Macaca mulatta: one gene and its partners. The protein of the gene in region 1 purifies or fractionates together with the protein of each later gene. This does not show direct contact. Links are inferred from orthologs where the notes say so. Each region holds a gene or a part of one and is shown in the gene's direction. Other genes may lie near its edges.

Evidence for each region. Proteins that work in one complex are often made in the same cells at the same time.
Region 2: the proteins of TNFAIP3 (region 1) and MTOR purify together in Homo sapiens (affinity purification with western blotting, with the first as the bait; 3 studies listed by BioGRID). This does not show direct contact. The link is inferred for Macaca mulatta from reciprocal best matches to the Homo sapiens genes TNFAIP3 and MTOR.
Region 3: the proteins of TNFAIP3 (region 1) and RNF11 purify together in Homo sapiens (affinity purification with western blotting; 3 studies listed by BioGRID and IntAct, with this or other methods). This does not show direct contact. The link is inferred for Macaca mulatta from reciprocal best matches to the Homo sapiens genes TNFAIP3 and RNF11.

Annotation. Positions count from the first base shown.
Region 1 is NC_133409.1:42,959,718-42,964,072, forward strand, and holds the start of TNFAIP3 (tumor necrosis factor alpha-induced protein 3), read left to right. Parts: upstream 1-1,553; 5' UTR 1,554-1,606; exon of another isoform or gene 1,607-2,466; coding exon of another isoform or gene 2,467-2,517; intron 2,518-3,438; exon of another isoform or gene 3,439-3,664; intron 3,665-4,355. UniProt on the Homo sapiens protein: Ubiquitin-editing enzyme that contains both ubiquitin ligase and deubiquitinase activities.
Region 2 is NC_133406.1:229,491,520-229,495,085, forward strand, and holds part of MTOR (serine/threonine-protein kinase mTOR), read left to right. Parts: intron 1-187; coding exon 188-432; intron 433-1,858; coding exon 1,859-2,074; intron 2,075-2,434; coding exon 2,435-2,640; intron 2,641-3,566. UniProt on the Homo sapiens protein: Serine/threonine protein kinase which is a central regulator of cellular metabolism, growth and survival in response to hormones, growth factors, nutrients, energy and stress signals.
Region 3 is NC_133406.1:189,391,195-189,394,122, reverse strand, and holds the end of RNF11 (RING finger protein 11), read left to right. Parts: intron 1-282; coding exon 283-454; 3' UTR 455-2,379; downstream 2,380-2,928. UniProt on the Homo sapiens protein: Essential component of a ubiquitin-editing protein complex, comprising also TNFAIP3, ITCH and TAX1BP1, that ensures the transient nature of inflammatory signaling pathways. Promotes the association of TNFAIP3 to RIPK1 after TNF stimulation.

The DNA of each region.
Region 1 (4,355 bases):
AGAGACGTGGTTTCACCGTGTTAGCCAGGATAGTCTCGATCTCCCGACTTCGTCATCTGCTCGCCTCGGCCTCCCAAAGTGTTGGGATTACAGGCGTGAGCCACCGCGCCCGGCCTGCTCTAAACTTCTTTTTGCCAAAACAGTGCCATCCTCCACCCAGCTCGCATCCCCATCTCTGCAGGTACTTACGGGCGAGAGGAGGATACTTTTCTAATTAAAAACCTGTGATATATGGCCTGACGAGTATTCTTAAATGTAATTAAAGGGACCACAGTACAGAATATTTCCAACTGGTTCTAGTTTAGCCAATCTAGTAAATGATCCAAAGGGTCCCGTGCTTAGAGGGCAGTAAGACAGTAAAAGCACCCTAAGCCTCCTCCCTGCACAGGACCTGCACCCCCACTGCCCAAGGGACTGCACCCATCTCCACATGACTCACTCTCCCTATGCAACGCATGGGGGTGGGGAAGGGAGCGCCAGTATTATCAGCCATCAGCACCCTGGGGTGAACTGATAATCAGGACAACTAAAAACACACCTAATAAAGCCTTGGAGACACATGGCAAGCACGGTGATGGACTAGAAGCGATTTCTAAGCTGAAATGCTGCTTGAATGCAATGTCAGCTGGATGCTTGGTGAGCAGAAATAGAGAAGGGGAAATGGAGCAAGGGTGGCATAGGGGTGAATGTTGTTCTGATTCCTAAGTTTACCTAAGATTGGGGCCACGGGGTCGGGTGTTCCCTGGGACCTACGTCTCATGCAGCCTGGGGTCCAGAGCTGGCAGGAACAATGGAGATGGGGACCAAAGGCTGTCACTGCTGCTTTTTCTCGAAATTCCCGCCCGGGTCCTGTCTGGGGCTCCCGCCTACGCGCTTATCACGTGCACAGCCCAAACTTTTCAGAGCCAGCCCGAGGCCTGCGGGCCCGGACGCCAGGGTGGTTTTTAGGGTTTTCTTTTTTTCTTATTTCCCTTCTTCTTCTCCACAGTTGATGATTTTCTGCAGAAAAACAACTGCGAAAAAGAACCTATTTCATTTCCAGTTCCCATCACCGCGATTTCCACATGGATGTGACGTGACCCCAGCTTCCGAAATGCCCAGGTGACTCACGCGGGGACACCCCGGGGCGGGGCGAGGGAGTTTCTCCCTGGGCCCGCGGGGACTGGGCGGGGCGAGGCAGCGGGGCGGGGCAGGGAAAGGGGGCGGGTCGGGGCGCGGAGGCCGCGAAAGCCCCTCGCCCCCTGCGCCCTCTGGCGGCCGGCGGGACGCAATTCGCAGCCCTACCCAGAGAGTCACGTGACTTTGGAAAGTACCGTGGAAATCCCCGGGCCTAGACCCGCATACAACTGAAACGGGGAAAAGCAGACTGCGCAGTCTGCAGTCTTCGTGGCGGGCCAAGCGAACTTGGAGCCCGCGGGGGCGGAGCGGCGATAGCGGCCGCCAAGAGAGATCACACCCCCGGCCGACCCTGCCAGCGAGCGAGCCCGACCCCGGGCGTCCATGGAGCGTCGCCTCCGCCCGGTCCCGGCCCCGACCTCCGCCTGCTGGGCGCTCCTGCTTTGACCCGGACTTGGGACTTTGCGAAAGGATCGCGGGGCCCGGAGAGGTAACCACTGCGCCTCCCAGTGCCGTCTGCCTCGGGCTCACCGCAGCCTAGGGCTGCGGATGCATGTTGGGCAGCGACCCCCGGGCTGGCTCCGTCTACCTGGCGTTGGTTTTGCAGCGCTCCTGGAGTGGGAGTTTGTTGGACGTTTGTTTCTGTCTGGGTTTTGAAGTGCTGGGAGTTGAGGTCACCGCTTCAGAGGTTGGAGTGACAGCCCTGGATACCTCCAGCCAGCTGTTCCTTTCGGATAATGCACGGAACTTAAGCTGCAGCTGACTGGTGAAGAGGCGCCCCTCGGGCCCTCTGATCGGGTGGTCGTTGATGCTTTGCTCCTTTCGTGTCTTTTTGGGAGCCAAGCGTTGCATGCTCCTGGCCACGTAGACCTTGCAGAAGCGCTGCGGCTTTTTCCCAAATTGTGCAGGGCCAGCCCGACGGGGAGTAGGGTACCGCAGTGGCCGCCAGCCCGGCGGAGGTGGGGGGCTTCAGTCCCAGAGACAGCTTCCCAGACGCTCAGGGGTCCGTGCACAGGGCTGGGGTCCTGGCGCAGGGTCTAGCTTTTCCAGCTGCAGCAGTGTAAGAGAAGTATGCATGTAGACATGGGTCGCTGGCGCCTGCTCCAGCCCCTACCCCACGGTTAGACTGTCTTTGTCAGCCGGAGTCGTCCCACATCCTGCCACCTGGCCTCTCAGGAAAGCAGTGGCATTAAGTAAGGAAGGAGCTTAACTCTTTTTGAACCCGCTTTGTTTTCAGTTCTCCTCGCCTCAGATCTTCTTGCCTTGGAAAGCCAGTCTGGTCAAGTGTCTCAGGGCAGCATTTTGGTGGAACCATTGTTAATTAAAGGGGCTTCTGGACCCGCAACCTTAATGTACTGGATTATTGAGCAGCCAATGAATGCTTCATTCTCATTGTTTAAGGTGCTGCTTTGATTTTTTTTTTTTTTTCAATTCTTAGTACTATTTTTGATAGGCACATCCCCAAATTTGGATGAGGTATTTGTTGATAAATAATTCATCAATTTCCACAACGCAGACAAAAATATCTGCCCAGAGTGGAAAAATAAAACAAGGGGGAGAAGAGTTTGAGCAATGGAGAAGTTCTGTAGAATCCTAGTGACAAAAGTTGAGAAATTACCTTTAAATAAGACAGAGAGGTAACAAATGTTAAGAAAAAAAAAAAGTTAAGGGTAATATTGCATTGTTTGCCACTTTATAATGTATCTGAAACATTTATTCTTTAATCTTAAGTGTAGAGAGATCCAAGAACTGGAAACTTGGACAGTGGGTTTTGATTTCTAAGGAGGCAGTTTTACAGGCTGTGCAAGGCTAAACCTACCAATGAGATCACACTGGGGTATCCAATATTGACATTTGCATGTCTTGCATATGGTTTACAGCTCTCACTATTTTAGATCTTTGGTGAAAAATCTTTAGATTCAGAAGAGAAAAAAGGGTCAGACAAGCAAAAAGAGATAACACCTCATTTGTTTAAAATCTTCCTATTGCCCATCTCTTTCCATCTGATTGTGGCAGGCACTGTAGCCACAGGTTTGGTGTTGTGGGATTGCAAGGGGCAGGTATTGAAAGACCTGGCTCCTAGGCAAAACTTCGCCCCTGAATGGCTGTGGGATCTGAGCAGTACCTGTAACTCCGTTGCCTTAGCTGCAGACTAAGTTGGTAGTGTGATTTCAAGGAAGGGAATAAGGTCATCTTTGACTTTTAATCCCATCATCAAGCATGGTGATTGGCCTTCAGTAGTGGTCAGGTAGTGCTTGTTGGGTGGATGGGTGGGTGGGTGGGTGGATGGATGGATGGATGGATGATATCGTGAGAGAGACTTTTGCTGTGCCACAAAGGAAAGGTGTATGTGTTATTTTTGTCCTGTTATGGTTTTGCCCAATTCCACCTGTAGAGGACGTCTGACATCAAAAGAGAGCACCATCTGATCCAGAGAATGACTCCCACTATGCCTTTCCCAGCAATCAGATTAAGAATCCTAATCTAAAACTATCACCAGAAAACTCCTCAGGAGAAACCATGGGTCATCTAGTCCAACCTCTCCCCTGTGAGTGGGCCACAAGAATTTAGACCACCTTATTAATGGTGTTAAGAGAGTCTAGACCCACGCAGGAGTAGCTACCCTAAAATCTAGATTTCTTCTCCTCCCTCTTCCATAGGTTTAACATTTTTATTAACTGGAGAGTTGCCCTGGCAAATAGGATGCGGCAGGAATGGAATTAACAATCACTGCGAAATTTCCTAGGGAATGTCTTTGTGCTCTGAAAACTTCTTCATCTTCTTGGAAATTAGGAATTGTGACCAGACACCCTACTAAGGGCTAGTGAATCCGAGCTGGCTTTTTACACTGTTCCATACTGGAGAGATCCCACATCATGTAAATTTGCATCATCCTGCACTGTTGGCATGGGTTGTAGATGCTGGTCTTTGCCGCCTTTCCTCCTTCATTTGCCAGAGTGGCTTCCTGGTGGAAACTTCTTTCCTTGTCTGCTTCTAGACTTTCATTCCTTCTACTAGTTGATTATGCTTAAAGATTTCAGGGTGAAAAGCCAGGCAGACATGCCCCTGTGTTGGTACCTGGAGGGTGATGATAAAATTTCATTGGCAGTTGAGTTAAAATGATTGAGCTCCAATATCTGTTCTTAGAAGTATAGAATTTATTGTTCTATTATTATTTTGTGGTTTTTCATTTTTTGTTTTCGTAGAGACCTGGGTCTCACTATGTTGCCCAGCCTAAT
Region 2 (3,566 bases), on another chromosome or scaffold:
CACAGATTGTTTGGATACCTGAGACTAAGCCAAGAGAGTTTACACTTTTATTCTTATTTTATAATATCCTTTCTACTCTGAAGAACAGAGGCCTGATCCCCTTGCTAGGAGAGAAAGCTATTTCTTCCCAAGAACAGACTGAGTGTCATGTGCCCAGCCCTTATGTGGCTTGTTTCCTTCCCCTCAGCCCTGCCCTCACTGCAGTGCTCTACGACCTGAGTCGTCAGATTCCACAGCTAAAGAAGGACATTCAAGATGGGCTACTGAAAATGCTGTCCCTGGTCCTTATGCACAAACCACTCCGCCACCCAGGCATGCCCAAGGGCCTGGCCCATCAGCTGGCCTCTCCTGGCCTCACAACCCTCCCTGAGGCCAGCGATGTGGGCAGCATCACTCTTGCCCTCCGAACGCTTGGCAGCTTTGAATTTGAAGGTAAGAAATTACAATGTCTCTTGGCAAGGTAGTGAGAGCTGCTGGAAACTTTGGGAAAGGAATGAAAGTATCTAGACTTCCTGGATCTTGCTGTGATCCCAGAGACAGGGTAGCTGATTCTGTAGCAGCTCATCCTTCCTAGACTCTTTCCATATATTGGTAATTCCTGTTTGTTTCTTTGTCCCATACTGAGTTTGGGGGCAGATCGTTTGAGGGAAAGTATACGTTGATCCAAGGAAATAATGCTGCAGAGACAGATCCCCCTCATGTCCCCACTTTTTCACCTCCTTGTAGCTGAGATGATATGTAATGCTTTAAAATGTATAAGCAGGGGCTTTTGGGTGTTTCCATGTCTATGGTGGTATGGTGTCTTTTCTCTTTTTTTTTTTTTTTTGAGACAAAGTCTCTCTGTTGCCTAGGCTGGTGTGCAGTGGCACAATATCAGCTCACTGCATCCTCCATCTCCTGAGTTCAAGCGATTCTCCAGCCACAGCCTCCTGAGTAGCTGGGACTGTAGGTGCGTGTCACCATACCCAGCTAATTTTTGTATTTTTGGTAGAGATGGAGTTTCACCATGTTGGCCAGGCTGTTCTGGAACTCCTGACCTCAAGCGATCTGCCTGCCTCGGCTTCCCAAAGTGCTAGGATTACAACCATGAGCCACTGTGCCCGGCTGGCGGTATGATTTCTAAAAGTACTGTACTGTGTAGTTCTAAACTGCAAATAAACCCACAATAATACCCCACAGAGATATATTTCAGGAGGAGAAGTTGATACTTTTGAAATTTAAGATCATATAGGTAGTATTGGTCAAGACTGTAGAGAAACAAGCAAGTACAGAAAGCCTGAACATGCTGTCTGGAGACAGCCACCTGTGGTTTCTCTATTGTGGTTTCTCTATTTCTCTTTTGCCTTTCTGCTGATTGAAAGCCCCCTTGTTACCCTTTAAGAGTTCTGGGTCAGGCCGGGTGCGGTGGCTCACGCCTGTAATCCCAGCACTTTGGGAGGCCGAGGCGGGCGGATCACGAGGTCAGGAGATCGAGATCATCCTGGCTAACATGGTGAAACCCTGTCTCTACTAAAAATACAAAAAGAAAAGAAAAAAAAAATTAGCCGGGCATGGTGGTGGGCGCCTGTAATCCCAGCTACTCGGGAGGCTGAGGCAGGAGAATGGCGTGAACCCGGGAGGTGGAGCTTGCAGTGAGCGGAGATCGTGCCACTGCACTCCAGCCTGGGTGACAGAGCGAGACTCCGTCTCAAAAAAAAAAAAAAAAAAAAAAGGAGTTCTGAGTCAGTATCTTATTGATCAATATCTGGTTGAAAGTAGAATTAGTAGCCTCAAAATGGAAAATTCAGCTAGCAAGCTGCAGACCTACCTGTCTGCAGCAGCAGTGTTTATTCTGTTTTCTCTCTGCCTTTCTATCCAGGCCACTCTCTGACCCAATTTGTTCGCCACTGTGCGGATCATTTTCTAAACAGTGAGCACAAGGAGATCCGCATGGAGGCTGCCCGTACCTGTTCCCGCCTGCTCACGCCCTCCATCCACCTCATCAGTGGCCATGCTCATGTGGTTAGCCAGACTGCAGTGCAAGTGGTGGCAGACGTGCTTAGCAAACTGCTCGTGGTTGGGATAACAGATCCTGGTAAGGCTTCCCAGACAGAAGCAATCTAGGGGAGTTAAGGAGCTTAGGGCAGTTGCGAGTAGCCAGTTTCATTACGTAATGAAAGGCCTCTCTAGAGATCTTCGGCCTCAACAAGCTGATATTCAGCTATTTCTCTGCCAAGGCGTGTTAGGCGCAGCTACTCTAGCCTCTTAGTGTAAGATAATCTGCCTTTAATTCTTTGTCTTTACTCCTATGAGTAGAGAAAAGAGTAACAGAGGTTAGATGAGAGAAAGCATCTGGAATCTTCCCACTACGCTGATGGCAGTGGAGGTGGAAGCTGGGAAGGGCTAAAGTGATGGGGTCATGAAGAAATGTTCAAAGGCTCCATTGCTCTTGCAGACCCTGACATTCGCTATTGTGTCTTGGCATCCCTGGACGAGCGCTTTGATGCACACCTGGCCCAGGCGGAGAACTTGCAGGCCTTGTTTGTGGCTCTGAATGACCAGGTGTTTGAGATCCGGGAGCTGGCCATCTGCACTGTGGGCCGACTCAGTAGCATGAACCCGGCGTTTGTCATGCCTTTCCTGCGCAAGATGCTCATCCAGGTAACCGGGATGATGGCCAGACCCACAGGCAGGGAAGACAGGACTCTCACTTTGAGAGCTGCTTGAGGAAGCGGAGTTGAGGACAAGGATTGGGGAGAAAGATTGAGGTACCTGGTAAAAGCCACATTTGTCTGCAAGGGTCCACGTTTCCCTGGCTTTATAATGGCAGTTCCAGTGCTCATCACCTCATGAGCCCTTTGTCAATATGACTCCAAGGTGGTTCGGAGTCCTCTCATGTAGTTCTTTCTTTTTCCTGGCAAGTCGCCAGTGATCCCATTTCTTGGCCCTCTTTGCTTGCTGGATTGATCTGCTGCAGATGGTGTCAGACTTCCCAGCGCCTCCCTATCCTTCCACTCTCCTGCTTTTCTTGCTGGTGCCAGGTCAAGCATGGAAGCCATTGTTCTTCACAAAAATAACCAATGTGAGACCGTTTCCACCATTTATTCTGATAGTCATTGCCCCAGTCTGTGATCCTGGCTTTTGTTCTTAAATAATATGAGAATGCCAAACTCAGTTGCTTGGTCTGTAGCCTAAGGTAGAATTCCTCTTGAGATATGGCTCCTCAGTTTTTGTCTTCACCTACCTGAGTAAGTTCTGTGGCCTCCTGGTGAGCAATACATGGTCCAGTCCTGCCTGGCAAAGTTATTTCCAGCTGCCTCTTCTGGGTCTCTATGTGGTTCACCCATTCATTTCCTGTCCCCATTGCTCGCTGTCTGCTTCCTGACCCTCCCTCATGCTTTGTTTTGAAGTAAACACTTTTTGTAATATATAAGGAACTTAAACATAGAAAATCATTAATATATGTAACTCACTCTAGAGAAATGTTGTTTGTTCACAATTTGTTGTAAAGTGGCTGTAAATTATATCATCAATCAACAAATTAGGAAGCTGTACTTACGTTGGCACTTCTGTTTTTAGCCTAATGA
Region 3 (2,928 bases), on another chromosome or scaffold:
TGTTTACAAGCACAGCAGTAAACTTGATCCATATGTAATCCATTTCTCTTTGCTCTGTTGATTGCTCCTAAGTCCTGCAAATTCTCGGGGGATTTAAATAAGAAATTGTGTATAGATCAACATTAGGAAAAAATTCAGTTTGCATGCTTTGGTGATAAGATGACAGGCAAAGCATTCTGATGTGTTACTCAGATTAACACTGTCTTTAATGGGATTTAAACAGTTTTCTGAATAGGACACTTCCGAAAATGCCTTCTGATTTCTCTCCATTGCTCCCAACAGGTGTGTGATCTGTATGATGGACTTTGTTTATGGGGACCCAATTCGATTTCTGCCGTGCATGCACATCTATCACCTGGACTGTATAGATGACTGGTTGATGAGATCCTTCACGTGCCCCTCCTGCATGGAGCCAGTTGATGCAGCACTGCTTTCATCCTATGAGACTAATTGAGCCAGGGTCTCTCATCTGACTTCAAGTGAACCACCATTTTGGTGGTTTTGATCTTTTGTCACTGAGCCCAAAGAGCCAGGGATTAGGAATTAAGATCATGCACAAAAGTTTCCTTAAAATTCCTGGATGGCTGCAGATGTTGGGGGAAAAGTACGTGATATTTTAGAAACTTAGTGGGAAAAGTAGGATGGTATTTTTATGTAAAGCCTTGACCCAATGTTTAAAAATATAATTGTATTTAGATCTTGTTATTGCTCCAGTACATAGGAATTGTGTAAAGTGTTACAGCAGCTGTATTTGTTTAAATTGTGTGTATTGAAGATTAGGAAAAAGATAGTAGTTATTTTTCCTAAATGAAATAACTTTCTTCTCTTCCCCTTCCCCACCCAAATTCTTTTCTGAAGTTGCTGACATTTGGGTCAAGGTTTTATTAAAAGCTACATTTTATAACACTGGCACACACAAAAAAGTAGTTTTAAGCTTGTTTGCACAGTTCTTTTTTTCCATTGGAAATGGAATTCATTGCCTTAGGTCTTTTTAAATAGTGTATTATTATCGTTGGGGCTGGCTCTATGCTTGAAAACCAGTTTATTTATAACCTGTTATAAGTGCTATATTCTGTTTGCAGTTAGGAAATGCAGAATTCAAAGTGATCTCCTAGCTTGTAAGCAAACTGAGATGCACTATCCCTTTTCTATAAAAAATAAGTTAATGTGTCAAGAAACCAACTCTATTAAAGTGGGGTTTAATATTGCCCTTTCCTATGTGTTTTATCTAATTATTTTGGTTGTTAATATGGTGATAATGGAAAGTCAAGTTAAATTTTAAATATTAAGAATTCTGATTTATTGAGATTGAATTATGCCACCACGTTTATGTAAAAATGAAGGTGGCACCTTGGTGAGACCTAATGAGAAATAATTACTCAGTTGTAACAATTTTGATTTATTTTCTTTCTTCTGACCTCCTTCCCTCTTGTCTTGAACCATAGCAAAAGGATACTGCATCTCTCATTACTGTAGTGCTGAGGTTATTGAAGTTATATAAAACACATCTCAGTCTCTGTTTCTTGGAAAGGTATCTATTACATCCTGCTAGCTGACTGACAAAACTAAGCAGGGAGAATAAAGATAATTGTATTTTATGTTTTGCACACAAACACAGAATTTGTATAACCATATGACTTCATAGTTGTGATCTCAAAAAAGAAGGAATTTCTCCTTTGTTTCTTGCAGTTAATGTAAGAATACTTTAAATCTCTAAGCTTCTGAAGTGTTAGAGGTAGAGATGGTCTAGTAAAGATGTAGTAGTAATGTTTTATCCATTTAGCATGTGTTTATTTTTTCATATGTACTCAAAGGTGACTTATTGGTTCACCTCAGTGATATTACATACAGCTAAAAAAAATCATTCATTAGCAAAAGGAAAAGTGGTCTCAACCTAACATCAGAAGTGTTTCTTATTATTATTTTATATTGGGTTGAATATTGAACTCTAACACTTTTCTACATACAAAACACTGTCATGAAGGTTATGCATAATTGCATTATAGAGGAATGTAGTATGTCATAAGTACTTTGTAAAGATTTGACATTCAACTGTAGTATCCATATGTTGCTTAAATTTCTTTATGAGCCCCATGATGGAAAGACTTAAAGATGAATTTGAGAAAAATTGAAGAAATTAGATGATCAGGTTCTGTTAAATTGTTACATGTATCTTGCTTAAATTTCTGTTTATTAATTTATATCCACCCAATTACATAAAGCAGATTTGGAGGAAACAACTGAGGTTGTGCAATATTTTCTGTGATAATTGCTTTTTTATTCTTGTGTTTTCTACTTAAACATGATGTCTGTCATCAAGTATTATAGTCAGACTTTCTTTTTTTCTAGATTGTTAAAATTGGTAAATGAACTTTTTTTAAAATCATCTTCCATGTTGCAGTTAGTCTTTCTTTTCAATACAAGTCTTTCACAGAAGTTTGGAGGTAATACTGAAGGAACTAGCATTGGGCAGAATGTGTCATTTTTAGGCACTTTGTATTCTCAACATGCAATGTTAAGAACCATCAATTTTGACTTTTACTAAGTTGTTAAATAAAGTTATAATACAGCTGTGAAGGGCTAAAGTTAGAGTTGATTACGTAAGTATTCCCCATATCTTTTAAAAGAGTTGTGTATAATTATTTTAAAATACCTCTCTCTCTCTCTCTTTCTCTCTCTCTCTATATATATATACACACACACCTGTGGGAAGTATTTTTTATTGTTTGGCATTTAATATCATTTAATCATGTACTTAGGCTTGATAGCACCAAAGTTTCTAAAACCAAACAATAGCTGTAATCTCTTGATTTAGATATGGGCTAGATATGTTCAAGCTTGGCTGTGGGATTTGAAATTTCTGAAAAGCTTAACCAGGAAGAAACAAAAGAATCTTATCCTTTTGAATGCAAAACCCAACAAGTTGAA